Linked DNA regions of Rhinolophus ferrumequinum. The protein of the gene in region 4 purifies or fractionates together with the protein of the main gene of each other region. This does not show direct contact. Links are inferred from orthologs where the notes say so. Each region holds a gene or a part of one and is shown on either strand. Other genes may lie near its edges. The genes, in order: NXF1, ATP-dependent RNA helicase DDX19A, NCBP1 and XPO1.

Region 1 (6,850 bases), on a different chromosome or scaffold from region 4:
TCTTGAAGTTTGGGGGAAACTGAAACTCAAAAATTAAAATCTCAGATCTCTTAATCACAGTCACATAATCTTTCCAGTTCTTGGGCTCACTGTCTTTGGTTCAAACTCCGTTTTTTTGTTGTTATTGTTCCCAACTTATACTCACCTTCTAGTCTTCTGGTTTTCCAGGCCTCTCACATCAGTGTCATCAATTATCCTTTCTGTTCAGCAAGACTCCAGCTTCTTGATGCTTGATTCTTTCCCTCTGGTTTTTCTTTCTCTCCATAAGACATTCTTTTGTCCTGTTCCCCATGTAAACTTTTCCTTTTAAGTTTTCTTCAGCCCTCTCTTTCCCAAGCCATTATTTTCAGCCCTATTCATTTCCATTTTCTAACTCCCTGCTACTTCTCAGTGTCCCACTGATTACTAATTTTTTTTTCACCACCAGTGTTCCCTTCTATTAGTTTCATTCGTGGACTCCCATTTAAAATCTTTTGTGTGTCAGATTGCATTTATTGTTTTTCCATTTTTGTTCAGCGGAGCCAATGTGAGCTTTATTGAGTATGACATGACAAATGCACCCACACTGAGAAATGTAATTATAGCCCCAAACTAGGAAACCTGGTACTTTAGTTAGCCTCTCTGACATACGAGGGAATCATGTATAATCTGGGCTTCCGTATTTGGACAGAGATTAGCTGGCAGTTTTCATGACCACCTTCCCAGGACCTGGGCCTTTCCTCTCATATTCCACCTAGATTGCAAGGCTCCATCAACTTTTCTATCCTCAACAGGTTGGAAAGGTCTCTAACTCCCAGGGACTCACTTTGCAAGGACCAGGGTTTGTATTTGGTTTTTAGGATTGCATATGCAGGTCGGCTGGGAAATGTTTCCTTTTCCTCAACAATCTCTCAAGAGATTACCCTTTCTCTGAGGACTTCTCTATACCCTGGAGAGACAGTTTCTCATAATATAGGGCTTTTCTTATCCCCTGACTGCCTGTTCGTGTCATTTTTTTCCTTCTTGTCTCACTCTGAACCAGGATTTCCTGACTATGATGGCCTGTGAACTTTTCTCCCTGTTACAAATGCAATACATATTTAAGAAAAGTCAATAAATACTGATGAACAAAACATTATAATAGCTAACATTTTGGGGGCTTTTAGTATGGGTTGGGCACTATATAGTTGTTAACTTAGGTAAGACTGACAACAACGAGAAAGGTAGGGTTTGTGTTATCCTCACTTTTCCTTCTTTTTCAGTTGAGGAAAATGAGATTTGAGGTTAAATGACTGGCTTAGGGTCATCAGCTAATAAGTTGTGGAGCTGATTTTCAAATCAGATCCAAGACTTGTTTGTATTACCCTTCCAGAGCTTTTTGTATACACAGATACACTGGGGGTGCCAAAAAAATGTACACATTTTAAGAGATGTTATCTACGTATTACTTTTGAAAGTTGATTTACGGTATCAATGTGCAATATGATGTTTGTTCAAAAGATGGCATTAGGGGAGGCCAGATAGCTCAGTTGGTTAGAGCATGGTGCTTTTAATAAAGTTGCCAGTTTGATTCCCACATGGGCCACTGTGAGCTGCACCCTCCACAACCAGATTGAAACAACTACTTGACTTGGAGCTGATGGGTCCTAGAAAAACAAACTTAAATACATAAAAATTAAAAACAAAAAAAAGGCGTTAATCAAATGAATGCTAGCATCATTTGTTGTATTACCATTTTAATATAATACAGTTTTTTCCTTTCTTAAAAAGTGTATACATTTTTTTGGCACCCTCTGTATATGCACAAAAATGGAATCATATTGTGTATAAACACTTTCTACTTCCACCTATTGTGACCATCTTTTCCTGTCAGTAAATATGCTTCAATAGCTTTCTTTTTAATCTAGTGACCTTCTGTTCCCTCTCTCCCCGGCCCTATCCCCAGGATCGATGAGAACGTGCTGGGAGCCCAGCTGGATGTTGAGGCCGCCCATTCGGAGATCCTCAAGTACTTCCAGTCGGTTACGTCCAACCGGTGGCTCATGATCAAGATCTTCCTCATCCTCATTGTCTTTTTCATCATCTTTGTGGTCTTCCTTGCCTGAACCCTCTCTGCTCTGAGGCACTCCGCGGGGGTTTGGAGCTCACCTGGGAGGGCAGGTGGCCACTGCTGCCCCTGAGCCTGTGCAAGGTGCTTGGAAGAAAGGCCCTGTTTTCCTGGAACTGCTAAGAATGGCCACTGCCCCTGATTCCCCACCCCTTGCCTCTGGCTACCCTGTCCTCCCCTCACCACCCTCAGGCCCACGAAACACACATGGTTCTGGATTTGGACTCTGCTGTGAAGTGGCTGGAAGGGAGCAGAGGCCAACTGGGCGGCCAGTGGGGGAAGTTGTCTCCACTAGGAGATTTTTATAAACCCTCCCCAGCCTCTCGCAGAGGAAACTTTGGCAGCAAGGGGAGATGATGCCCTTCCCCACATCCTGAGAGTGAGGAGAGGAAGTGAAACTGCCCCAGGGACCAACTTTCCCATCTGGGTTAGAATTTGACCTCTTTCTTCTTCCTCTCTTCACCATGTGAGGTGGGGGCCCTGAGCCCCTTGGCTGCCTGCACAACCCCAACTTTGGCTGCTGGTGACTCTCAATCTGCCAAATGAGCTGCAGCCAGTTTCTCCCAATTACAGCAAGACCGTCAGCCTCACTAGCCATGTTGTCATTTCTGGGTGGGAGCGTCGAAGGGCCAGGCAGCAACTGGAGTGAGCCCCCTGCCCTGTACCAGAACTTTTCAGGTTGGGCTGATGGCTGTGAGAGGCAAGGCTTTGGGCTCTGCACACGGCAGCCTCCGGGCAGGGGAGAACCAAGTGCAGCAGCACTTCATTAGCATGGCAGCTTCCCTTCAAAGGGGGACGCAGGATCCCAGAGTGGGTTCCCGACTGGTGGCAACTTCCAGGACCATCTCCAGCAGTATTTGGACCTGTTTCACCTGCATCCTCCAACCAGTTGGCCCCAATTTTCCCCTGAGCTGGATGAGGCAGGAGCTCTGTCTGCTGCCAGGAATGAAAAGTGAAGAATTTGTTCTCAGCTCCAGCTGAGGTTCTTGATCCCCTCCAAGCCCCTCACCAAGTCCAAGCCAGTCACAGGAGAATGAAGGTGAGACGTACCTGGAATACCCGCCCTCCAGGGAGGTCATTCGGAGATCACTGGATTCCTCCCACCTCACACACCCCAGAGGAAGCTCAAACTATAGACGACAATCACCATACACTCTGCTGGCCCTAGTACTTTGGGGGGTCTAGGAGAGCCCATGTCTTTCCTAGCCCTGGCATTTTAAATTTCTCCCCCCTCCTCAGCCTCTGTTCAGCTGGTGGCCCTGCTAGAATCTTTACTACCCAGTAGACACACCATGTGGGCCTAGGACAACACATCAGTTGTGGGTGGGGCTGTTTGTGAAGACAGTTGCTCCGTCAAAGCCTGACAAATGGCAGCCTTTCTCATTTGATTCCGCAACTCTTCGGGGGATGCATAGATCAGAAATTCATTTATTTCACAAATACTTGTTGAGTTCCTGCTATGTGCCAGGCATAGTACTGAGTCAGGTGCTGAAGGAAAAAAACCGTGAATTATTCAAAGTCTCTGCTGCTTGGAGCTTACGTTTAGTTTTCTATATCCTGATAATCCATTTTACAGGCGTTGAAAACGAAGCGTTGACCCGCAGCCCACAGAGGGCTGAACTGAGACAAATACGGGTTATATCCCGCTAGGGGTCTGGGAGCCTTCACTCCCGCTCGGAGGCCCAGGTCTCCCATTCCTGGGAAACCCTTCATGTGGCCCCTCTTCCCCGCTCCTCTCGGAGTCCTGGGCGTCAGGAGCCTGCCCTCTGCTCCAGCGCTAATCCTGGAGGTGCTGGCGTAGCCGCGGACGGAAGAAAGCGGGCGGCAGGGCGAACCAGCCCCAGCCTTTGGCTAGGCGAGCTCAGGTCTAGGGCGAGTCGGGCAGCGGCGGAGCCCCGCTGCGCGGCGCGGCCGTTCGCCCAGTGCGCACGCGCGGCCGTCTGCGCTCCTCCCCGGAGGCACCGCCCACTACCTGGGGACGTCGACGGCGCGCGGCGCTCTGGGCCAGATAAATGCGGCGCTGCCGGCCGTAGGGGCGCTTCGACCTGGATCACCTGGGCGTTCTGACGATTGGTGGCGTTGTGGCCCGCGCCTGAGCCCGCCCTGCTTTTCGCTGTGCCATGGCGGACGGGGGGAAGTCATACAACGGTCAGTGTTGTCCCCGGGGGTGGGAGCGGGGCGATCTGGGCCCCGGGTGGGCGGCGCTGGCCTAGGCCGCAGCCCTGGGGCTGGAGGCCGCGAGGGGCCCGCGTCCGCGGAGAACGGTGGAGGCGCGGGTCTGGGGCGAGGCAGCCCCGGGGGTCCCACCGGACTCGAAGGTGGGAGCCCGAGTTGTTGACTCCGGAATCCTGGCGTTGCGAGGAGCTGCGGCTCGGTGCGGGTGGTTCGGCGGTGGGGTGACGAGATTCCTTTGAACTTTGTGGGTGGTGGATCCCTGTCATTTCAGTTTGGCGGCCAGACTCTTTAATGTGAGTCAGTGCCCTTCTCCTGAGCTACCTGTGCCCTATTTTCTATCGCGTCCAGTCGGTTTTGTCCCCCTTCCCTGCGGTTTTGGCTTAATATTTTAGATCTACACACCATCTCGATGTTCTAGACCAAACACTATACTGGGTCCAGAGTAGTGGTTTGGAGCACATGACAGCCGAGATTTCAGTCTTGAGTTGGCTACATCAAGCTTGAGTGAGTTAAACGCTCAGGCCTCATTTTCTACTCCCTTAATGCAGGTAGAAACAGTACCTACCTCCTAAGTGTGTGTGTGTGTGTGTGTGTGTGTGAGAAAATGAGATCATTCATATCAAGTGCCTGGAGTATGGTAGTGCCTGGCACTGGAGAAAGTTCTCAGTGAATGTTAGCTGTGCTTTCTATTCATTTCTTCTTTTTTTCTAGGGTCATTTCTTGAAGTTCATTGTTTGCAGGGTGCTGCGCATTAGGCAGACCTTGTTTGAAGTCATCGATCTTTTTTTAAGAAACCATTCCTACACACCAGGATTCAGAGGGTCATATTCCTAGAGAGCAGTCGAGAACTCTTGGTTAAGCACCCTAGCTGCCATTAGAACCTGCATCTAGAATTTGTCTTCTGAGTTAAAAGACATTTCTGGCCAAGGAAACAAAGAACTCACTCCCAAAACTTCAGAGTTTGAGAACAAGACTTTAAAGAAGTCCTTAAATTGGTCACATTTGTAACATACACTGTATAGGCAAAACAAGCATCGTTTATTGAAAGCTGATGTAATAGTTGTGGTTGCTTGGTTTAAGGGGATGGGAGAGGTCACCATTCAAATACTGAGTAGGGTTAAGTAGGTTTGAGAGTCCGAGTGAAAGCAGATTTCATTCAGGTGACTTTTGAGGGGTCTGAGTTGTGCCCAGTTTCACTTTTGGGTCACTCACATTTCCACATTGTGTTTCTCCTCTCTGTACTTCCAGTTTCTGCTTCATTTTTCAAAAGCCCTGCATGGTTTCCCAGTGGTTTTTCCCTTTTTGGTGCCATCCCACACAGAGGGTTCTTTCTCTGGAAAGGCGGGGGAGTTTGCTTGGAGGTAGCCTCTGCAGTTAGTTTGTATCTCATCCAATAGTGCAGCGATACTGTAATTGGTGCCACAGCACAGCAGCTGGGCCAGTTTTCTAGTTTGTGTTCTGTTCCCAACTCCAGAGCATGATGATCGAGTTAATTTCCCTCAAAGAAGAAAGAAAGGTCGGGGTCCTTTCCGGTGGAAGTGTGGTGAGGGGAACCGTAGGTCTGCAAGAGGAGGTGCTAGCATTCGATCTTCCCACCTTGAAGAAGATGACAGAGATGTGGCGATGAGTGATGCCCAGGATGTTCCCCGAGTAAGATAGTGAGTAACCAGTGGATCTGGTTTGAATTTGTCGACTCTTTTACTTATATACTGTTACTGTTTGTGTCGTTTCTCTTCCTACCTACAAGAGTGAGGACTGCCAGGACCAGCTTAATGGTTGAACAGTCTTAGTTGTAGTTCTCATAACAGTGCAGCAAAGACTTTGAGAAGCCATTCCTAGTGTTTATGGACATTTTATTCTCTATTTCCACACAGCAACCCCTATGCTGCACGAACTAACCGTCGGGGCGATAATTGGCAGGATCGAGACCGCATTCATGTTACTGTGCGAAGAGACAGAGCTCCTCCACCGAGAGGAGGGGCTGGCACCAGCCAGGACGGGACCTCAAAAAAGTGGTTTAAGATTACAGTGAGTATCTTGGAAATAGATGGTGTAGGAGAGATGAGAGGCAGGGCTCAGAGTGAAGGTGTTTACCCTTCACACCACAAAATTAGTCTTCTGAGCTGTTTACTCCACAGTCAGGTATCCGTCCTTTGGCATAAGGATCAATGTCTTAGAACCTAAGGGCAGGTGCAGAAAAGGAATAGAAAGAATAGGCAGCACGGGGAGGAAGGCAAGGCCATCTAAAGGGAAACGTGATGACTGATTGGGAGGTGACATAACTCCTTTGGATGTCTCCATGTGGCTCAGACTGAGTCGTGGGGGTTGGGGCCCCTTGACTTCTGAGGGGCAGGCAAGGTAGAAATAATATCTTAGGACTTTTAGAATCAAACAATTTGATTCTTTTGATGAATAATAAGTATAAATAGACAAAAAGGAGGTTAAGGAATCCATGTCTGACTCCAGTAGTAAAGCTTTAACTGGTGTTTTCTTTAGAAAATCTTTTAAACCTTGGCAGACTATATGAAGCACTAGGTTGTATCTCCTTTTCAGCCTTAGTTTCATATTATTCCCGGCCCTTTCTCTCAT
Region 2 (7,576 bases), on a different chromosome or scaffold from region 4:
GTATCTGGTTTGACTTTCTCTTCCTTGATCTGCAAATTACTGATCTGAAAAGAAATTTAAAAACACTTGAGAGCAAGCCACAGGATAACATAATACCATGAATTATTTATTAAGTTAATGTACACAAGTCTATGTGGTAAAATAAAATGGGGGTGGGGGAGGGTTTTCTCCAACTGTGAAGAAGCAATGTTTTAAAACATTTAATTACACCACCCTTCTGATAAGCAGATTGGTTAGAACCAGGTACCAAGTATGTTAAGGCCTACGTTTGTGACATATCACAGCTAGATTAGATCATAGGTTTAAAAAGTTTTGAAACCAATTCTTGGTAATTATCTTTTAGGGAAGATCTGATGCTAAACATTAGATTGTAAACTCTAGAGTGCCAGAACCATATACTAGATAATACCTTTTGATTTCTTTGTGGACAACTGCCAGTTTTATACATCTGACCTGATTTCTTCTCCAGAACTCCAGTACCACATTTCCAAATGTCTAATGGGTGCTGTGCAGAAAAGAGTTAACAGAGCAAGGCTGACTACTATCCTTAGGAAAGCCAGCTTGCAAGGTTGGCCCTTGGCTGGCATCTGGGAATATGGATTTTGAGAGGGCTCCCACCATTCTCAGAAATTCTGAGGGGGTCCCTATGCTTGTAAAAACATGTGGTTCATGTTAAGACCTGCTTTTCTTTTGGGAATCTGGAATTTGGGTATAGGCTCAGCCGAGGATGACTATGTAACAGGCCCCTCAACAAAAACTCTGAGCACTGAGTGTCTAATGAGCTTTCCTGACAACACTTGATGTATTGTTACAATCTATTGCAGGAGGAATTAAGCACACATTAAGTGGAGCATGTGACTTATCATCTTTTTTCTTTCAAGATTTTTTCTTTGTCTTTGATTTTCTACAACATACATAATTAAACATATTTACATTTTTAGCAATTATCTTGTTTGCTGTTTTCAAAGCATCCTAGATCTGTGTTTTGGCATCTGCCATTAATTTTGCATAGTTATTGGCCAATATAGCTTCCACTATTTCTTTTACTGTCCTCTCTTCTCTTTCTAGTGCACCCTTTTACTTTTAGCATACGCTTTTCATTCTTTCTTAGATTTGGAAGAGGATTTAGAAGCTTGCGCCTGGTTTTCTCAGGACTTTGCTCCATGAGCCCATGTCTTTTGCTAATTTTGCTTTGTAGTTTTTCATTGAATAAATCATAGCTGTGAGTACCATTATATGCTGAGTCCGTGAGTTCTCCTAGGAAATTATCAAACTTGGAAAACTCTTCAGAACTCCCAACACAGGTATTTACCAAGATGTCCTCTTTACCTCAAATTTGGAACAGTCAAAAGTAAACTCACTATTTTCCATATCAGAACTGCCCTTCTTCCCACTCTCCTAGTCCTATTATTAGGATCCAATTGAAAACAGTATCTTTGCCTTCCTCTCCCTTCTATTTTCTAAATCTTTTCTATTATACTTCCACAATTATCTCTTAAATCCAATCTTCACTTTTACCACCCAACATATGACTTCTATCTGGGCTATTGGCATCATTTCCACACTGATCTCCTTTCCTTTGGATACTATTCATTCCTTCTAATATATTATGTTCTCTGTAGTCCAACAAATCTTGCCAGCACTCCATCTAATTTTGTTAATATCCTTAAAAATCCCCAAACCAACCAAATAAAGCCTCTCCTCTTAAAGTTTTTAGTTAAGGTCCAAAAATATACTCCCTACAATATTTTCTATACTGCTTCTACTACAACCCAGTAACTCAGCAAAAATTAGTTATGATTCCTGTTCTCTAAGCAAGTGCAGCACTTTTATGCATTCTATTTTCCTAAAATGCCTTTCACCTCCATCTCTACCTTAAATGACTCATTCTCTAATATCCAGTTCAAATGTAAATTACTTGAAAAGGAATTTCCTACTCATTAATGTCTTCTCCCTTGTCCGAGTTCAGTTATCATTCTTCTTACCATTTTCACAGCACTTTCCACTTTCTAGCCTTCCTAACTAGACTGTAAAGTTTCTTCCTATTCTCCAAGGAATTAAGCCCATTTCAAATATCTGCTGACAAACTGACAATTCTCCCAACGCAATAAAGGGTGACTGGAGAAGAATGTAATTTAGGTATTAAAAAGTTATTTAAGATTTCAGACTACAAAAACAAAACAACCAAAAAAAAAAAAACCCACCAAAAAAACAAACTGTATTCCTAAAATCAAGTCCATTATCACTAAACAAATCTAAACTTAGACACAAAAACAGAAAGTTACAGTTTAATTATAATTATATTCCAGTTGAATGGATCTTCATTTATCAAAGAAGAACCAGTTTACGAAACTAAATGTTACTTTAAACATCAATGAAACAATTTGTCGTGCCTCTCGCCAATATTTGCAGTAGACTAAAATATATATAAACCTGAATCTGTTATTCTGCAAAGAGCTACAAACTGCCAACCACTTTAAGCATGGATCTAAAAAAAATGTTAAAATAAGCACAGAATCGTTCAGAAAACAGATGAGAAAGAATCAGCATCTAAACGCCTTTCCTTACAATCCCCACAGAAATGGAGATGCAGTACAGGAAAAGACAGCCTATGTAACGGGGTCAGATTTGCCACAGGATAAAAGTCTCTAACAGGCCCAGATGAAGAAAAAGGCTCGATATTGGTCTCTCTAGGCGCACATCAGGGCTGATTCCCCGGTGGGCCCCGGGCCTGCCCCACCTGTGGGGCTCCCTGGATTCGAAAGCGGGTCCACTTGGCCCGCCACCGCCCCTTCTCCCCGCCCGGAGCTGAAGACACTGACCGACTTGACAGCCGCTTCCTGTTCGTCCACTGCCAGGGCCCACGAGTCGGTGGCCATGGTCCCAAGGGAGGGAGTCCGACTCGCGAAAAAAAGTACCGCACCGCACGCCAACACTTGCCCCGGTTCCCCCGCTTGCGCGAGACCGACACTCTCGCGGACCGGAAGCGGCGGTGAGAAAAGTGACGTCAGCTCCTGCCTGGCGCGAGACGTCACCATTTCGCGCCGCGCCGCCTCCCAGCCTGGCAGCCTCTCGTCAGGCGCGCGCTCGAAGCTTCTGTGGGTTTCCTGAGGCGCGCAGCCTCTTCGTTCCTCAAAATCTCCAAGCCGTGCGTAGTGAAGCTCTTAGCTCTCACTTTGCCATGCTTCACACTGAAGTTTTATTCTTAAACCTGCCTCGTCTCAAATGTGTCTCTGAACTCTAAAGCCTTACACAAAAGAAAGTCCCGTGAGAATACCACGTGGTGCCAGTTTCTACTCTTAACGTGACAACAGGTAAGACGACAAGAAACAAAACATAACCAAAAGCCCTTAAACCCGCTTTCCCATAATTCCACCAGTCCAAAAAATACAGCAGCGTTTCTTGTTTTCCTTCTGGGTCCTTCCGGTCATTGTCCATACACATCATAGCACGGGTATTTTACATAGTCCTAAACAAAGTATATATACAATTTAACATTTGACCTTATTATACGGCTAAGTGTTTTTTAATGTCATAATTATCAATTTAAAAACATTATAATAGTCCAAGCTCATATCACATAAATTGCCTAACTCCCCAACTCCTAGCCCCTTGGGGATATCAGTTGTTTCTGATGTTTTATCATCAGTTGATACCTCAGTGAGCATCTTCACACCACCAAAAATCATCTTGTTTGTCGCCAGTTTGCTTTTTGTCTCCCCACTACAATATGAACTCGAAACAAAAGCAAAGACCTTAAATATCTTGGTTACACAGCTGGTTAGTGAACCTAGAAAAGTTCATGGCACATAGTAGACTCAATAAATATCTTTTAATGTATATGTGTATGAATAGACTAACAGATTTTAGTTCAAAATGTATCCCTCTAGGACACATTTCTAATCATTGCAACATTTATGTCAAAATGTATGACTGACTTGAATACTTGACAAAAGAGGATAGTCAGGACATGGAAGGAGTTCGAAATCATTAGTTATTAAGAAAATGCAACCAAAGTCACAATGAGATACCACAGTACACCCGTTTGAATGGCTAAAATTAAAAATTGACCCACCATGTGTTAATAAGGATATGGAATGTTAAAAAATTATTCAACGACGTTTGTTAAAGATGGTAGGGAAGACTATTCAGGACCATTGCAATAGGTATAGGGATCATTGCAATGGGATGTTTGCAGTGGGGGGAAGAGCTTGGGCTCACTTTAAACATCAATGGGCAAGTGGGAATTTATAGCCAAGGAGGCAGGAGGTGGTATGAGTGGATGAACAATTACTAGGAGGAAACATTAGGGGCGTTCTGGTAACCAGCCTAACACAATTCTTGCTGAAGACAACCCAGAGTGATCAGACATCAAAGGAAGGGGATGGTGGAAGATGAAGAACATGATCAGATACTAAGGGTGATCAGATATCAAGGGTTCTTGCTAAAACATACAAGGAAGTGCACAGATTGGCCTAGCAGAAGGCTCAAGAGCCTGACTAAAGTTTGGCCAAGCAAAGAAACTTTGTCAGGAGCAACTGGAACTCATAGGCTTCTGGAAAGAATGTAAAATGGCACAATGGTTTTGTTGTATAACTTTTTGGCAGTTTCTCAAGTTAAGCATGCACCTACCCTTTGATCCAGCATTTCTACTACTACTTATTATCCAAGAGAAATGAAATATATGTCCACAAAAAGATTATACAAATGTTCATAGCAGATTTACTCAAAATAGCCCCAAACTGGAAACAACACAAGTGTCCATCAACAGAATGGATAAACAAATTATGGCATATTTATTCTACGGAATACTACTGAGCAATAAAATGGAACAGACTACTGATAAACGAGATGAAATACATTAATCTTACAAATATGTTGAAGGAAGAAGCCAGACACAAGAGATGCATACTGTATGAGCCATTATATGAGATTCAAGAATAGGAAAAACGAAATCGATACTGATAAAAATTAACAATGGTTGCCTCTGGAGGGGGGAAGTTTGGGCAGGAGACAAGGGAAATTCCTGGAGTGATAGAAATGTTCTCTATACTTGATTGAAGTCCTGTTACATAGATGTATAAATTTGTTAAAACTGTATACCTCGTTTTACTAGGTTTCACTTTATTGTGCTTCACAGGTGTTGCGTTTTTTACAAACTGAAGGCAAGACACTCCATTAGCAAAAAGACGACTACTTGCTTTGTTGCAATACTCGCTTTTATCACAGTGGTCGGGAACTGAACCTGCAGTATCTCTGAAGTATTCCTGTATTTGCTTTACTGTGGTGGTCTGGAACCGAACCCACAATATCTCCAAGGTATGCCTGTATTTTAAACGTCATTTTATTTTATATAAATCACCCCTCAATAACATTGATTTAAAGAGCAAAAGAAAAGGAATGAACTACTGATACATGCAACAACACAAATGAGAGATTTGCCATCGCATTATGTTGAGTGTAAGATTCCAGACATGAAAAAAATATATGGTACATGATTCCATTTACATAAGTTAAAAAGAGATATTTATAGTGATAGAAATCAGAACAGTGGTTGCCTGGGGATGGGCTGGGGTGAGCAGGATTGATTGGAAGGGCACAAAGGAACTTTAAGGGCTGATGAATGTTCTGTATCTTAATTAGAGTGGTAGTTACACATGTGTATACAATTGTCAAAACTCATGGAATTGTACACCTAATATCTGTGCATTGCACTCTACATATATGTCAGTTAAAAAGAAAACAGACAATGCAATGTAATTTAAAAAATCGAAGTTTAAAAAATACAGGTAGTAATAAGTCTATCTGTACTGTATAAAAAGGGAGGAAGGATAAGAATATTTTCTCAGCTCTTAATCACTCATTAAAACAGGGCATGCACACACTATGCTACAGAAGTGAGAATGCCAAACACCATACTGTCTTCCCAAAGGACTAGTCTAGTTCCCAGCATCCTCAGCACCAATGAGCTACTGCTTGGAGGCTACATTGTTTTTTGGGAGATAGCACCATGGCCTAACTCCTTGTTGGGCAGCAACCCTAGGGGACACTGCAGATTGGTTTTCTGAGGAATAATGCTCTTGTCTTACTTTTGTAGCAATCACTTTTTTAAAAAAGATAAAAAACTAGATGTTGAGGCATCTCACCCTCTTACTCTTTAACTCAACCATCTACACAGCAAAGCTTTCCATAAAAATCAAAAGCAGCAGCACTAAAAGACTCAATTGTAAGTCCTTTGTGGCAGAGGTCATTAGAGCAAAAATTGAAGTCTGGGTGCCCACTGGGTGCCCTATATCAATTGCTATTTCATTACAAAGTGCAGCTGCTCTAGCACTCATATGATGATGCCTACATTGCTTCCACTGAAACACAATTCCTAGAGCTAAACATAGTCACCTGGGGAATTGAGGATAGGATTTTTGCTTGCATTGGATTTGTAGGGCATTTGCTGGAATTTCTTTTTATTTATTTCACTGCCTGCACCTATTAGAAGACTCATTGGCATTTGTTTAATCTAGGTGAGTGCTCTCAGGGAAGACTCATTGGCATTTGTTTAATCTAGCTGAGGCTCCAACTGGAACACTGAAACCAGCCCGTCTGTTTGGAGCAGCTCCGGGCAATAGGGCACGCTCTACTAGGGCTACCACTCCCTCCCCCTCAGCTAATGTTTCTATTCCAAAAGGCGGGTATCCAGCCAGAAGCCAGTGAGAATCGCACTCCTCTCCAGACCAAGACACGGGAAGGGCACATTCTCCTGAAGCTGCGGACTAGATAAACACCCTCCTGTCCTAATTCGGATTCGGTTAGACTGAAAAGATAAAAAAGAGTTAACATTTTTTTAATGCATCCTACACGATTTACTTGAATCACCCCCCATTTAATTCTCACAACTTTCCTACTTTATCTCCATTGTACAAATAAGGAAATTGAGGTTCAGAGAAGTTGACTTCGGCAAGATCAAATGGCCTAGTAAGTGGCAAATCTAATATTTGTATTCAGGGCAACCCACTTCCAGGAACTAATGGGTGACAAAACCAAAACCAAGGGCAGAATAAAGGCTTTCCTGGGACCTGGGACTTAACTTTTAACTTTTGGTTAAGAGCCCAGCTGGCCTCTGATTGGCTGAGGCAGGTGAGCCAACCAATCATCAGAGTGCAATAGCTTTTCCCAGGGTACTTTGTACTTGGCTGTTTTGGCCTGAATCTCTGCTGAGATGCTGATTGGATGAACTTGAACTGCGACTTGTTGACTTGTAACAGGATGATTTCATCATCACTCAACTGTGAGTCCGGTGAGCAAAGGCCTTACTTGTTTTGCTCACCATTGGCTCCCCATCACCTCATCCATTGTAAAAGCACATTAAACATCTGTTGAATTAGGGAATGATGAATCAATAAATGAATTGAGAAAAAAAACATCTCTTATGATCATTCTCTGGCATCTCTCGTTCTCTGGCATCATCATTCATTCAGAGCAAATGAGTGCAGGGACTCGCACCACTTGTGTTTGCAGTGGGGCTGGGCACGATAGGGTGGCGGCTCTGCTCTGGGAACTACCGCTTCTCCCTCAAGATGTT
Region 3 (6,895 bases), on a different chromosome or scaffold from region 4:
TGGTTTTGACAAAAAGGGCAAATGCCTGCAATTACACGCCAATGTCACTGTTAAATAACCTTAGGTTTAAGGCTAATGGAAGTCTCAGTGAAATCCCTTCTATTATCTTTCCACAGGGGTTTCCAGTTTTATGTTCTACTATTCTGTAGAACTTCCTGTGAGAGTAACAGTTTTCATAATAACCTTTATACTAGTTGGACCAGATCAGGAGTCTTAGGTAGCAGCTGCCCTAGTGTCTGTTTTCCTTATGACTAGGTCTCCTGGGTTCCTGCGATTCCTCCTGTCACCCTAGGTGGGGAAAGGAACCCAGCCCCTCTGTCTAGGACCGGTCCTCAAGTGCTCCACCAGAAGTGTTCCTGAGCCACACCTGCCTACGATTCTCCTTTGCCTGGCATTGAATTAAGATCACTAGTAATGGCTCTGACTAAACCTTACCTTGAACACGGCAACAGCCTAGTGTCTCACTAACCTTCCACTCCCTGGAGGACAACCTTGATAAGCTACTTCTAGATCTATCTGCGTTAACTACACATGCACAATCCCACAACACCAACAGCAATTTTACCTTTTTCTTTGCGAATGAGTATTTCTTCTTTGTATTGACATCGAGCTCTGCTTTGAGACTACTACTGGGATTGATAACACTTGTGTCTTTTAAATCCAGGTCTGAAAATCGTAAAACACAGGTCTCCAGGTCCTCTCCCTGGTCTGGTGAAGCGGAAGAAGGCATCTGGCTTGGTTGCAAGAATGGAGCAGATTCCTTTCAGTTAACTATCTCCTAGGAAGTGAGCAAGGGAGAAACAACAATGTCCAAGTTTTTGATTACTACTTGAAGTAAACTCAAAGCTAATCAATGATGCAAATGAGCATGGGCCCTGTAGCCCATTCGCTCATTCATTCAACAAATATTTATTTAGCAGGCATTGTTCTTGACACTGGGGATATAGCAATGAATGAAACAGAAAAAGTCTCTGCATTCCAGTGGGGAGAGACAGGAGGTAAACAAATGAATACATTGATTAAAAAATAAGTCAGATGGTAAAAAGGGCTACGGAGACAAATAAGCAGGGTAAGGAACCAGAGTGATAGAGGGGATCTTTAAAACACAGAGAGTAGTCTGAGGCAGTAGCATTTAAGCAGAAACCTGAATTAGGAGGCAAACCATGCAAACATTTAGGGTAAATGATATCAAAAAAGCACAGGTACAATGGAAATCAGCGAAGCTGTGTGCTAGCAACTTCAGTTATAAACACCGTTCTTTTTTGTCCCGTAGATTTTGAGCTGGGCAAATTCCCTTTCGTAGAAGAAATAACTACTGAAACAGCCCCCATTTTAATGAGCCAGAAGAAATATACAAATTGTTACTGTGGCCAGGACTTGTCCAAAGGGACACACTATACAATCAACACACTGCATTCTTGCTTTTATAAAACAAATGTTAACAAGTGACAAAGAGGCAACATAAAACACCAGAAAAGCATGGGCTCTGGATCGCGGTGCAGCTGGGTGCAAATATGTGAACCTGGGCAAGATATTAAACTTCTGAGTTCTACGTCCTTAATTTCTAAAATGCAGATGACAATGTCTACGTTGCAAGGCTGTAGTGAGGACTGGAAAGGACATGTAAAACGTCTGGCACATCCTTAGTTCTCCTACCACTCTTGGCTTATCTCAGACAACACTCTCCCTCAAGTATCCTACTCTGGCCACAGGGCACAAACACGCCATTCCCTCTCCTGCCTCAGTGTCTCCACATACACCTGTCCCACCACCCCAAATTGACCTCCCCTCACTCACAATCCTTTTCAGTTCTTGCTTTAAACTTATATATTCCTAACTATTCTATGTGGGGATTTTGGTATGTGCCCGGCACATAGAAAACAGTACTGCGGCTGCAGGCCTTAATGAAACAGTTCAGGTCCCTGCTCTCTTGTAACTTACATTCCAGTAAGGGACACTAAATAAGTAAACAAATTAAAAAACATGAAAATATCAGTGATAAGAGCTGCTGCTTCTCAATTGCCTTTGGTGGGGCGGATCCTCCATATTGTCCCCAACTTTAAATGTTGAATGACTTTATCTATAGTCACCCTGCAAGTGATCTCATCTACTCCCAAGGACTTAAAAACTTTATTTGCCTCAGAATAACTGTGTAAGGGGAGGGGGATAATATATGTGAAACTAGACTGGCTCTTAGTTGGTAATTGTTGAAGCTGGTTGATAAAGTACATGGAGGTTCATTGTATAATTTTCTCAACTTCTGTAAATATTTGAAACTTCCATTAAAAAAAAGGGAAGCAATCATAAATAAAGGAAAATTTAAGTTAGAATACTATATACTGACTCCAGATTTATATCTCCAGGTGGAGCCCTCTCTCCTGATCTCCAAATTCACACATCCAACTGTCTACTGGATAGCTTCAGCCGGAGGGTTAACAGGCTGTTCAGAGGTAACCGTTCAAAACCAAACTCTTGCTCTTCCCCAGTCTTCCTTACCTCCATAAATGACAATTCTATCCTTCCTGTTACTCAAAAATCTTTGGGCTTCTTCTTGACTCCTTATTCTTTCAACACCATCTTCCAGTCCGTCCGAAAATCTTAGTAACTTTGCTTTTTGAAATACAACCAAATCAGATCACTTCACACCACCTTTACTACAAACTCCGTTCAAGCCACCATCCTTGCCTGACTGAATTATTGCCACAGACTAACTGCCCTCCTCCTGTAGGAGACAGTTACCTTAAAAAATAAGATTAGTCTCCAAAGGCTTCTCAACTTACTCAGATAAGGTCCAAAGTACTTACAAAGCCCCTCCGACCACCGCTCTAATCTCAACTTCTACTACTCTCCCTTTGCCCACCACCTCCGATTGCACTGTTTTCTTTGCCCGTTCTTAGATGGGTCATCGGCACCAAGAAAGCAGGGATTTTCCTTTGTTCACCTCTGCATCCTCAGCATCTAGAACACTGCCTGGCACATAGGAGGTGCTAAATGTCAATATATTTGTTGAATGAACTAAAACATTGGGTAACCAGGGAAGGCTTCATGAAGGACCTGATGTTTGAGCTGGGACCTAAATGACAAGCCATCTATGCAGATTTAGAAGCAGAGATCTCCAGGCAAAAGAAATAGTATCAATTCCTAAAGTGGGAACAAGCTTAACTCATTGGAGGCACCGGAAGAAAGTCCGAGTGGTTGGAGTACAGTGATGAGAGACGAGAACCCTGGAAGTCAGGGTATGAAATCTGCAACGGCAAGTCATGGGAGAACTGGGAACAAAAAGGAGTAACGTCGTCTGATTCTGGATTCGTTCTGAAAGTAGAGCCAGCAGGGTTTAGGGATAGATTGTTATGTAGGAGGTGAAGGAAAAGGAGGAGCCACGAATGACTTCTACCTACATTTTTTAATTAAGCAAGCGGCTGGACGCTGCCGTATATCGAAATTGAGCACCGGTCTGGCCCAACTTCTCCGCCCAGCGTTCCCGAGGAGGCAAAAGCCCCGAAGTGGGAGTAAGATGCGCACGTACCCGCCAGTCCCGATCCTTTCTTACACCTTTCTTCATTGAACCTTCTCCGCCTAATCAGTAACACTGCTCACCACCCTCGAGCCTCCACCCCCACCTTGAGTTTACGTAGCAAAAAAACGCTCGGGACGTCACTTCGCTCCGGAAGTCTTCGAGGATGTGAGCGAAAGGGCCGCCGGGAAAATCATTCCGAGCCCCTGCGGGCGGGTCTGGAGTGGAGGCGGGGACTAGAGCGTCCGTCCTAGACCGCTGCCTCCAGGCGTGGCTCGCAGCCCCGGGCTTCGGTGGGCCGAGGAGGCGGCGCGATCTGCGTGTCCCCGGAAGGACTTACATTGAAAGGTGGGAGAGAGAAGAGGCGGAGGAAGCCCGAGGGGGCGGTGGCGAGCGGCCGGGACGCCCGCGGCCTGAGGAGCTTCTAGCTCTGCCCAACCTGCCGAGCCCACCCGGCCGCCTCCGCTTACGCTTCCGGGAGCCGTCGCGAGCAAGTGCGCCTGCGCGCCGGCCACTCCGCGCGCCTCGCCGCTGTCCTCGGGCCGGCGTCCCCGCGGTTCCTGCGGCGCTTCCCGCCCCACTCGGCTCGTCCGCGCACCGGCGTGCAGCATGTCGCGGCGGCGGCACAGAGACGAGAACGACGGTGAGTGTCCTGGGCCCGGCCGACGAGGCCGCGCCCAGGTGGGTGCCGACGTTTGGCTTCCTTCGTCTTCGAGTCTCGAGGGAAGCCCTTCCCACCCGGGAGCGTTCGGGAGTCGCGGAGGGAAGGGGGGTGGCACCGCGGGAGTGTGGCTGGGCGACTTCTAGAAAGCTCTTACCCCTCGCTCCCGCTCCTTTAGTCGTTGTCCGGTAGGAGGCCTGAGGGGGCCCCAGGCCTCTAACGACCTGTCAGGATTTGGTCCTTGGCACCGCCGAGCAGAGAAGTACGTACTTCTGTGGGTCTGTGCGGCGCCTCTTGGGGACAGTGGCAGGGACCCTCTAGCCTCAGTTTCTCCTTTTGACCCTCCAACTCACCTGGAAAGGGCTCTCCCACACGATTGAAGGAAAGGAACAAAGCCGTGACTGAGAGAGCTGATGAATCGCTTTGTGAGCTCTGCTCCCCTACCGGTCATTGTTGATTTGCCTTCTTTCAAGCTTCAGGGAAAGCTTGTGTGTCTCTTACCCACACCCAAGAGGTCACTGACAAACACATGCGTGTTATGTTAGATTTGCACTGGCCGTAATTGTATTTCCGTCGTGTAAGAGAGTGCTGGGAAACTAACTGGAGAGCTCGCAGAGATTTAGCTCAGGAGTTGCCATGTCCATTTGGATGGTTGTGCTCGTGGGGGTCAGGGTGTTGTCATAAACCAAGAATAATTTTGCTAGTTAAAAGTAGGAAAAGGTGCTTCCACTGCAAAAATCAGTCAAGAACACACATCCACAATAAAAGGAACTAAGAGTCATTCTATTATTAGTATTTTAGTGTATTGTTTGAAAAGAGTGTAGTGTTTAAGAGGCCAGACTGTGGAATTAGGGGGTTTAAGTTCAAAGCCAGACCCTAGCATTTACTTTGTGACCTTGCTCAGGTTCTATCACCTCTTTAAACTTTAGTCTGTAATGTAGAAGTCATATAGAAGGTGATACATACCTCCCCACGGTTTTGTGATGGTTAAGTGAAGTTACGCTTGTAATGAATGGCTCGTGATGATGTTTATTTAATCATCTGTTAATACTTAAGAGGTAAGCATTGGCAGATGTCAATGATGTAAGAAAAATACAGAACAAAAAATTTTAATTGAATTTTCTGCACTAATATTTTTCTCTCCTTGAATGTCGGGGCAGTTAGGGTAGGTAAAACTAAAACAAGTGTATTTAGTTTTAACAACGAAACATCAGATTTCTGTTGGGGCATGTCTTGAAAGGATATTCTAGTCCAGCTTTCTCATCTGACACCTAAAGGTCTAGAATTTTAGTGTAACTGACATGGAGTCACAGCTAGCAGTGCCCAGACACCAGTGAGTGCAAGTTCCAGGGTCCTCTTCACTACCCAGGCATTATGCTTCATGCCTTTTTTTAAAAAAAAGAAACACAGGAGGTTTCTTGTGTACATTTGGGGCACACAAAATACAGTTTTCATATGCTTTGAGTTTGATTAATCAGAAGCTAATACGCTTGAAGTCATCATTTGGTGTTTAAAGAACTTGAGCCTTTTGTTAAAGTTCTTCCATTTTCTTTTCTCACACTTTCTTTTCTCCACTTCTACTTCTCTCTTTTAGAGTATCCCTACAGGGAGAGAAAATGTTTCCAGAGGGCTACCTGGAGAACTGGATTTGAATCTGTAGAAACGCAACTTTTGCTTCGGTTATTGGGATGCTGCTGTAACTTTCTTGGGAGTTACCTTCTTTTAGTACCAGCTGGCAGCTAAATCATTGTCTATTTGGGTCTTGCTGCAGGTACCTCAGAATAAGTAAAAACCAAAAAAGCAAATAAGGAGTTAATTAATCAAAGTTTACTGTGGTGAATGAATAATTTAGTAATGGAAGGGCAATTTATAGTTCCTCTTGGATACTACACTGAATCTGGAACTTTTGTAAATTGCCACAATTTGGGTAATAATTAGCTAGGGTTTACCCTAAACAGTGATCTGAATCAAATATTTTAGATACTTTCCTTTTAGTTGGGCATCTGTTAATTTTTAATTAGAAATATTAGAAGCTTAAATATTATTGAAGGCTATTTTAAAATAGGCTGAATTATTATAATCATAGTTTAATAGATATATCAGAGCATTGCTGGATATTGTCAGCTCTTAGTCAGTCAGTGACTGCCATAACTTTCCATGTGCTTGACTAGATATAATCATTTATTCAACAAATATTCATCAGAGCCAGGCACTGTCCTAACTACTGGCAGTACAGCAATGGACAGTATAAAGATGGAGCCTCCCTTTTACAGACAGGAAACAGTCAAGTAAAATATAGTATAGTATATGGTGATAAGTGTTACAGAGAGAAAGAAAACTGGGTAAAGAGGGTAGAGACTGCTGTGGGGGGGGGGCAGGGAATTACTGTTTTGTATAGGTTGTTCAGGGAAGACCTCCCTGAGAAATGCGTCTGCAGTGGGTAAGGGAGCAAACCCGCCGGCTACATGGGGGAAAGCAGGGGTCTCAGCATAGGGAATCAAAGACCTTAGGGCTAGCAGAATGAGTGAGGCGGAGAGGTAGCAGAGGATCAGCTCGTAGAGGGTAATTTTAAAATTGTATCTGTGTTGAGACGAGTATTTGGGATCCAGGGAGACAGTTAGGATACTATACCAATGGAGTTCCCCGAGAGGTCAATTTATAGACAAGGAAAGGGAAGTGCTAAGTGGAAATTAATGTGCATGAATGCTGGTTCAGTGCTA
Region 4 (6,976 bases):
CATACAACTACAAAAGACTCAGGACACTCTGAAAGCCATGCGTGAAACCTCACGTTAAGAAACCTTGGTTTACTGTATTTAGACCCAACAAGGTCAGATGGTCATCGCCTGGTGTCCCCCTCTTAACAACCTTCCAAGATCAGGAAGTCGGTGTCTGATTTGATTCCATTATGTTTGGACAAACTAGCTTGATTGGAAGATGTTATTTCTTAGCTATTTTATAGCAGTTTAAAAATGTTAATAATGGCAGCAATTTCAATTTTAACCCACGTTTCATTTAACGATATCAGTTACAACAAATTATTAGTTGAAAAAACGAGTCAGTTAAGTTAGACATAAGTTAGACAATGTAAAAACACGAGAAATTAAGAGTTGAAGGATTTTTTATTCCTAAGTCTTTTGATCCATTGACAGTAAAACTGATGATTTCAAAAACTTTTATAGCAGTTATGAAACGTGTTTTAATACACAATATTAGCATACACAACAAAAATCTTTGATCTAAATACTAACCATATAAAAAAGGAAATATATTCCAAATAAATGTGTCCTCCCTTCAAGTGCCAATTTTAAAAGAGCAGAACAGCCTTAAAAGTTGAGGTTGAACAGCAATGTCCACAAAGCACCAAAATCTACATATCAAGTGTTTTTTTTAATTAAAAACTAGACGAACTTTTCTCCCATTTAACCCTATCATAATTTAGTAGCCAAAACAAAAAAGTAACGTGCTCTAAAAGTTTCATTTTCGAGTACACTGTCCTTGGAGTTCTTCCAGCTAAATTCTTGCTAAAAACTCAGATGTAGAATAGAAACTTGTGTTAAACACATTAGAGTTTGCCATCCTTAGAACTAGCGGCTATCTTCGAAATGACCTACCTATTCTTGAACTGTACGTAGTACAGAAATGGCGGCTTTCTGTTCAATGCCAAGCACACTTAGTCCCCCAAATCAGCTTCCCAACTATTTTTTCCACTAACTTCAGTATCCCACACGCTTAAGATATACAATCAGGCAGATAGCAAACAGGCATAGCGGGAGAGGGAAAAACCACAACACAGCTTTTTATTCTTTGCGACACTCAATCCTAAAATCCACTCACTGGATAGTATACGTTATCCAGCAACGTGGTGACTCTACAAGTGACTACCAAAATACCTTCACTGCCACTTCCAACAGAATAGGCAGACAGCTACACACTGCCAGCTCACATCCAAAAACAGTAAAATCATAACCGTCGCTTAATGATAACTACATAGTAAGTCAAAAAAACAAGTCGCTACAAGGACAGAGACTGCTACTTGGGTGTGTGGGCAATTGCTTGCTCCATTCAGTAGAAACACACCTCACTAAGGCCCGCCCTCCCCTCGCTCCCACCCGAAGCGATTTGCAGCACTTCTAACTATAGCATACCCGAGCACGCACTCACCCCGCCCATACTCGGAGGAGGCAAACACCAGGCGCACCAAGTTCACCGCCCCATTCTCTATGCAGCATGGCCTCTGCGTGATCAGAGGAGCTCGGGGCTGGACAAATCTTTAATGCTTCCTCTACTACACCACTTCCTCCCACCCACGCCAAACTCAGAGACATCGGAATGAAGGAGAATCAGGGCATCGTCCACTCTACAACACCAGCAGTAAATGATTCGATCACAACACACTCAAGCCCCCGAAAACAAACTGGGACACGGAACCCATTTACAGATCCCTAAAAAATCAACTAACCTTTCCTACTTTAATCCTACCCTGCAAAAAACTAGAAAGATTTTTGAGTTTCCTTGCAAGAGGAGCAGGGACTCGGCAGCCCCTCCCTCCCTCGATCCCAAGCTCTCCACCGAGCGGCCACGTGATGCAGGCGGACGTTTCAATGCTGCTGCACTAAATATTTCTGGAAACTTCCACTCCTAATAATTTACAGAGATGTTCCTGAAATCACCCCAACTTCTCCCTATCCCCTTGGGCTGGGGAAGCCCTTCCACCCCCGCGTGGGGGCCCTGCTTCACTATCACGCTCTTCGCCTTCCTCCACCGCCACCCTCACACACGAATGACCCAGCAAGCGCTCCCCTCCCGCGGCCGCCTCCATCCCCCAGTGGCAGAAGCGGCTCCATTCAATCGCAGGCTCCGCTGTGGGCCCGCCGCCGCCTCCTGGGCTCGCCTCCCGCGGCCGCCGCCGCGCCCCACGCCGGCCTCCTCCCGCCCCGCCGTGCCGCCGCCCGACCCTCGGCCCCGAAGACACAGTCGACTTACCCAGAGATTGAACCAACTGCTTCTTCCTTCCTTGTCGGGGGATTAGGGCGAGGGAAGGCAGGGAGAGGGGAGAGGGGAGGAAATCAAGGTGGGTTTCACAGTTTTCCCACCTTAAAAAAGGAAATTAAAAAAAAAGGATAAGGGCAAAAAAAGCTCAACAATATTTACTATTTCAGGGACACCTCCCCCCGAAACACACCCACCCGCCCCCCCAAAAAAGAAGGGAAATTAATCTGAGAAATAAATGCTCCCGCCTGGCTAGGGAGTAAGGAAAGGGGGAGGGGAACGGGGTCAAGTCCCAAAGATTCAGCCCCAGGGAGACCCTCCAGCCACAGGCGGCAGCAGAAGCGGCAGGAGTAGGGGGTGTAGAGTCCACACGGTCGGGGGACGCTCTGCTGCCAGTTGCAGTCCGACTCCCCCTACCAAAATACGGCTCCCTCTCTCACGCGGCTCCGGCGCTGGGCCCCCCCCACCCCGGCTCGCCTAAACTTTCCCCCCTTCTCCTGCTCCTCAGCGACTGGTGGTTCCCCCCTCCCCCTCTGGGTGGTTGCACGGACTGCAGCAGCAAAGACTGGAACAGGCACCGCCGCCGGGGCTGTAGCTACTGTTGCTCTTGCTGATGCTGTAGCTCCCGCTGCTCCTGCCGCGGCCGCTGCAGCCGCTTCTCCCCCTCCTCCTAGTGCCTCAAACTCGGAACCGGTTGAAACCGGTTCAGACTGGGAGATTCCATCTCGGTTGAGTTTTCAGCCCATGGCGCCGCGGAGCGTTTGGAACCTGGGCCTCCGCCCCCAGCCCGACCGCCCATTGGCCGGTTCCAGCCACAGCCGCGCCATCAGCCTACCTCTAACTGGCCAGATCCCCCGTCAATCCCACCTCAAGTCTCCACACGAGCCCGCCGCTTCGGCCCCCGCCTCTTTCCAGCAGCGATTTGCCCGCAGAGTGGGGGAGGGGAAGTGGGGCGGGTCGAAGAGGAGCAAGGAGAGGGGTGGAGGAGGAGGAGGTGGGACGAAGAGCTGAGCCCAGCAGAGAAGGGAGCGAAAAGAAGACGCGTGGAAGATTGGTTCGAGTGAGCCGCCAATCAAATGCAACCCGCCCTCGACTTCCCGTCCCCCTCCCGCTGCTTCCTCTCCCACACCCGCTGGCCCAGCCTTTCCGGCCCGCTCATTGGCTGGGCGCCTTTGGTGACGGAGAGGGTGGGGCGCAGCTCGTGAGCTGGTGGTGGCGCGAGTTTGAGCGCGGCGCGCAGCATTTTCGCTCGGCTTTCCCGGACCCGTGCCGTCCCGCCCCTGTCGGCTCCCGCCAACTTGCGGGGCCTGAGCCCGCCGGAAGAGGACCCGCCCTCTCGAATGGGGGCTGCGCTACGAAAAGGGAGGGCACACCCAATTTTTCTAATCAGGGAGAGGGGTGGAAAGAAAACGAACACATCCGAGGCCAAATGTAGGCCCCAGACCTCTAATCCATTTTAAAGCCCTGAGTTTGGGGCCTGGGGAGTTGAGGGTGAGAACAACCGTAAAAGAGGTTGAGGTGAGGTGTAGTAGAGACGTTAGTGCTTGGCTCCTTATGATCTCAGAGACCTGCAAAAGACAAATAGTTGCTGGGCAAGTCTCCTTCAAATTTAATTCGGTGTCTCCCCAGGCTGGAATTTGGCTGCTTCAACAACCAACCCTTCCTAAAAACTAATCCCTATAGTGGTTTAACATTGCATATATTCGCTGGGTAATCTTGCATGCCAGTTGCCTCCCACTAGGTGCCCTTGATCTGCCTGTACCATCGATTTTTCTTTGCAGCATAGTTGCCCTTCTAATGCTTCATCGTCACCAAATAGTATTTTCTATGATAGTCACGCGCACGTGGCCTTTCACATGGTTGCCTCTCGATTGTCCCCAAGTGCCCTCAGCTTTACTGATTGTTCTTTGCTTAAGAAAAGGCGAGCGGCACACCAAAATTTTCTGGGCCCATTGTGCCACCAAGAGGTTGATAAATGGTTTATTAAATCAATTTTTTTCAGCAAATCTTCACTCACAGTGGTCAATGGCTGACACACCAAAGCACCACTTAAAAATAACTCCCTCGTCCAATATATTGTGATGGAAAGAGAACTGAGTCTGGGTGGTAAGCACACAATGTGATACATAGATGATGTATTACAGAATTGTACACCTGCAATCTATGTAACTGTACTAGCAATTGACACACCAATAAACTTTAATTAAAAAAATAAAATAACTCCCTCATCCTCCAATAAAGAAAAATCCAACAACTTATTGCCTAAATTTACCAAAATGATAATTGGATGACTTTCAGACCTAAGGTTTTTATTCATTGCCTATCTGAATAATACAAAACCATAATATATATGACATAAACTAATCATTTGGAACACTTAACATTCTATTACCAGAAAAACTGAGACTGTCCTATTTTTTTTTTTAAGTTTTTCCCTCTACATATTCAGCTTTGACCAGTCACTGAATTTTTAGATGGCAGAACAATAGGAATAAAAACTGGGAGTAAGACCTGGTTTTGCTCAGACTGTGACCTTGGGTGATTCACTTCATCTTTTTGGGCCTCAATTTTTTTTTTCTGACACACTTAATGAAACTGATACCATCTATGCCTGTCTAATACATGTAAGGATCAAGTGGATGTGAAGGAGTGCTGTGGCCCATAAAGCACTTTGCGGATTTTAAAGTTCAAATGGTCTCAGTTTGCTATCCCCTTCTTTGACTCTTTTCATCCCTTCTTTAAATCATACCCCCAGGAGTTCATATTGTGTGACCATAATGAATCAGATGTAAATACCGGGGGTGCCAAAAAAATGTATACACATGATTTGTATTCATCTTTTGTTATTGGTATATATTGAGTATTAAAATTATAATACAGTTTTCCTTTTTTAATATGTGTGTACATTTTTTTGTATTTAGCCCATTATTTTTTTGCCTAGAGTTAGCCAAAATGGAGTATTCAATATAAGCTTCTTATTAACAAGTGCAAAAGGAAGTGACAGGGCAGATAATTATGTTTGATCACTGTATTTTCAGGATCAAATTCAGAACACAGGTCTGACGTGTGTCTAATACTTTCTTCATTACCTTCATTTGTTGGACTCACACAGATTTCAAACCTTGGTGGATATGGATAAGGAAATGTAAATACCCTGTTTCCCCGAAAATAAGACCTAGCCGGACAATCAGCTCTAATGCGTCTTTTAGAGCAAAATTTGCTCTAAAAGATTGTCCGGCTAGGTCTTATTTTCGGGGAAACACGGTAAACCATATTGAGTGCCTGCCTGCTGTCTAGCAGACTGTTAGAGACCTTTTTTGTACAATATTTAACTGAATTCTTACAGCAACCCTGTAAGATAGTTACTATTTTGCAGATCTCACTCTGTTCCACGCCCCCATTCATACGCATATACACATACACGCAGGTACACACCACCCCATAGTACTTTAGTCCATAACTAGAACCCATGTTTGTGTTCTTCGTACTAGTTCACATTGTCTCGCAAAACAATAACATTCATCAAAAATAAGAGAAACAGAAACTCATAAATTCCTTTCTACCAATTGTCGTGTATTTCTATTTTTTAAATTATTTTTAATTTAAAAAGTAATGCATGATCACTTAACAATTCAAACAATAGAGAAAGAATTATCTACACTAAAAAAGTAAAAGTCCTCTTCCTATGCCCCGCCATTTCTTTTTCCTGTCCAGAGATAATCATCATTAAGGGTGTGATGGTTTGAGATGTTTTCTATCTATTCACAAACATATTTGCTTTGTGTTTTGTTCAACATATATGATATCATACTATACATATTGTTCAGTGACTTGAGTTTTTACTTAGCATGTCAGAATGTATAAATCTACCTCATCCTTTATTAACAGCCTCATAGCTTTCCCCATCTTCTCAGTACCAGAAATAATTCAACAATTCCCCCCACTGAGGACAATTAGGCTATTTCCAATTTTTCCCCTTACAAATGCTGCTGCAGTAAATACCCCAGTACATTTATGTTTGGACACATTTGTAAATATATCTCTAAGTTAACATCCTAAAAGTGGAATTACTGTGTCAAAGGCCAAGTATATTTGTTATTATGATAGGTACTGGCAAGATTGTGTCAATTTGCATACCCACCACAATATGTGAACAGTACCTGTTTATTCCTTATCAAAGCTATAGATATTAAGGTCACACCAGAGTTAAATAAGGAATCTTTGCATTTTAATTTGAACTTTTGGTTCTGGAAGGCAATCTTCCCTGACGGTGAGCTCTTCAAGGAATATACAAATGATAAGATTAAATGCCCATATAATGTAGTAAAAATATTTTTTTAAGTTAAGGATATGCAATAAATCTATTATTTTTAATAACAAAATTGTTATTTCAATCGTTTTGAGAACATTGATACCACTTTGCGCTCAGAGGTACAGCAACAGTGACTTTCCAAAATGCACTTCTTCCTACCAGTCATGAAAATCAGACACTTGGACTGAACATACCATGATTCACTGGGTATGTTCATGTATCGAGAACAAAGTCATAATCCCATGGGCTTATTCTTCCTAATGACTATCTAGGGCACATTTGTGACTTTGTAAAGCCTGAAAGGAAGCACTGGGAGGCGAATTTCTTTGAGAATATTTTATACAAAATCTTTTTTCTATTTGCTTTTAAAAATACTGTGCAAAACACTACATCACATCACATGCTTAGAT

Evidence for each region.
Region 1: the proteins of XPO1 (region 4) and NXF1 purify together in Homo sapiens (affinity purification with mass spectrometry; 3 studies listed by BioGRID and IntAct, with this or other methods). This does not show direct contact. The link is inferred for Rhinolophus ferrumequinum from reciprocal best matches to the Homo sapiens genes XPO1 and NXF1.
Region 2: the proteins of XPO1 (region 4) and ATP-dependent RNA helicase DDX19A fractionate together in Homo sapiens (co-fractionation; 3 studies listed by BioGRID, with this or other methods). This does not show direct contact. The link is inferred for Rhinolophus ferrumequinum from reciprocal best matches to the Homo sapiens genes XPO1 and DDX19A.
Region 3: the proteins of XPO1 (region 4) and NCBP1 purify together in Homo sapiens (affinity purification with western blotting; 3 studies listed by BioGRID and IntAct, with this or other methods). This does not show direct contact. The link is inferred for Rhinolophus ferrumequinum from reciprocal best matches to the Homo sapiens genes XPO1 and NCBP1.

Annotation. Positions count from the first base shown.
Region 1 is NC_046294.1:8,034,627-8,041,476, forward strand, and holds the start of NXF1 (nuclear RNA export factor 1), read left to right. Parts: upstream 1-3,839; 5' UTR 3,840-4,206; coding exon 4,207-4,234; intron 4,235-5,735; coding exon 5,736-5,919; intron 5,920-6,135; coding exon 6,136-6,289; intron 6,290-6,850. Other genes in the region: STX5 (syntaxin-5), read left to right, coding at 1,925-2,084.
Region 2 is NC_046298.1:21,992,139-21,999,714, forward strand, and holds the start of ATP-dependent RNA helicase DDX19A, read right to left. Parts: upstream 3,001-7,576; 5' UTR 2,880-3,000; coding exon 2,823-2,879; intron 45-2,822; coding exon 1-44. UniProt on the Homo sapiens protein: ATP-dependent RNA helicase involved in mRNA export from the nucleus.
Region 3 is NC_046295.1:54,149,548-54,156,442, forward strand, and holds the start of NCBP1 (nuclear cap-binding protein subunit 1), read left to right. Parts: upstream 1-3,879; 5' UTR 3,880-4,123; coding exon 4,124-4,157; intron 4,158-4,528; exon of another isoform or gene 4,529-4,606; intron 4,607-6,895. Other genes in the region: TSTD2 (thiosulfate sulfurtransferase/rhodanese-like domain-containing protein 2), read right to left, coding at 1-25, 566-730. UniProt on the Homo sapiens protein: Component of the cap-binding complex (CBC), which binds cotranscriptionally to the 5'-cap of pre-mRNAs and is involved in various processes such as pre-mRNA splicing, translation regulation, nonsense-mediated mRNA decay, RNA-mediated gene silencing (RNAi) by microRNAs (miRNAs) and mRNA export.
Region 4 is NC_046296.1:27,576,489-27,583,464, reverse strand, and holds the start of XPO1 (exportin-1), read right to left. Parts: upstream 3,025-6,976; 5' UTR 2,249-3,024; intron 1-2,248. UniProt on the Homo sapiens protein: Mediates the nuclear export of cellular proteins (cargos) bearing a leucine-rich nuclear export signal (NES) and of RNAs.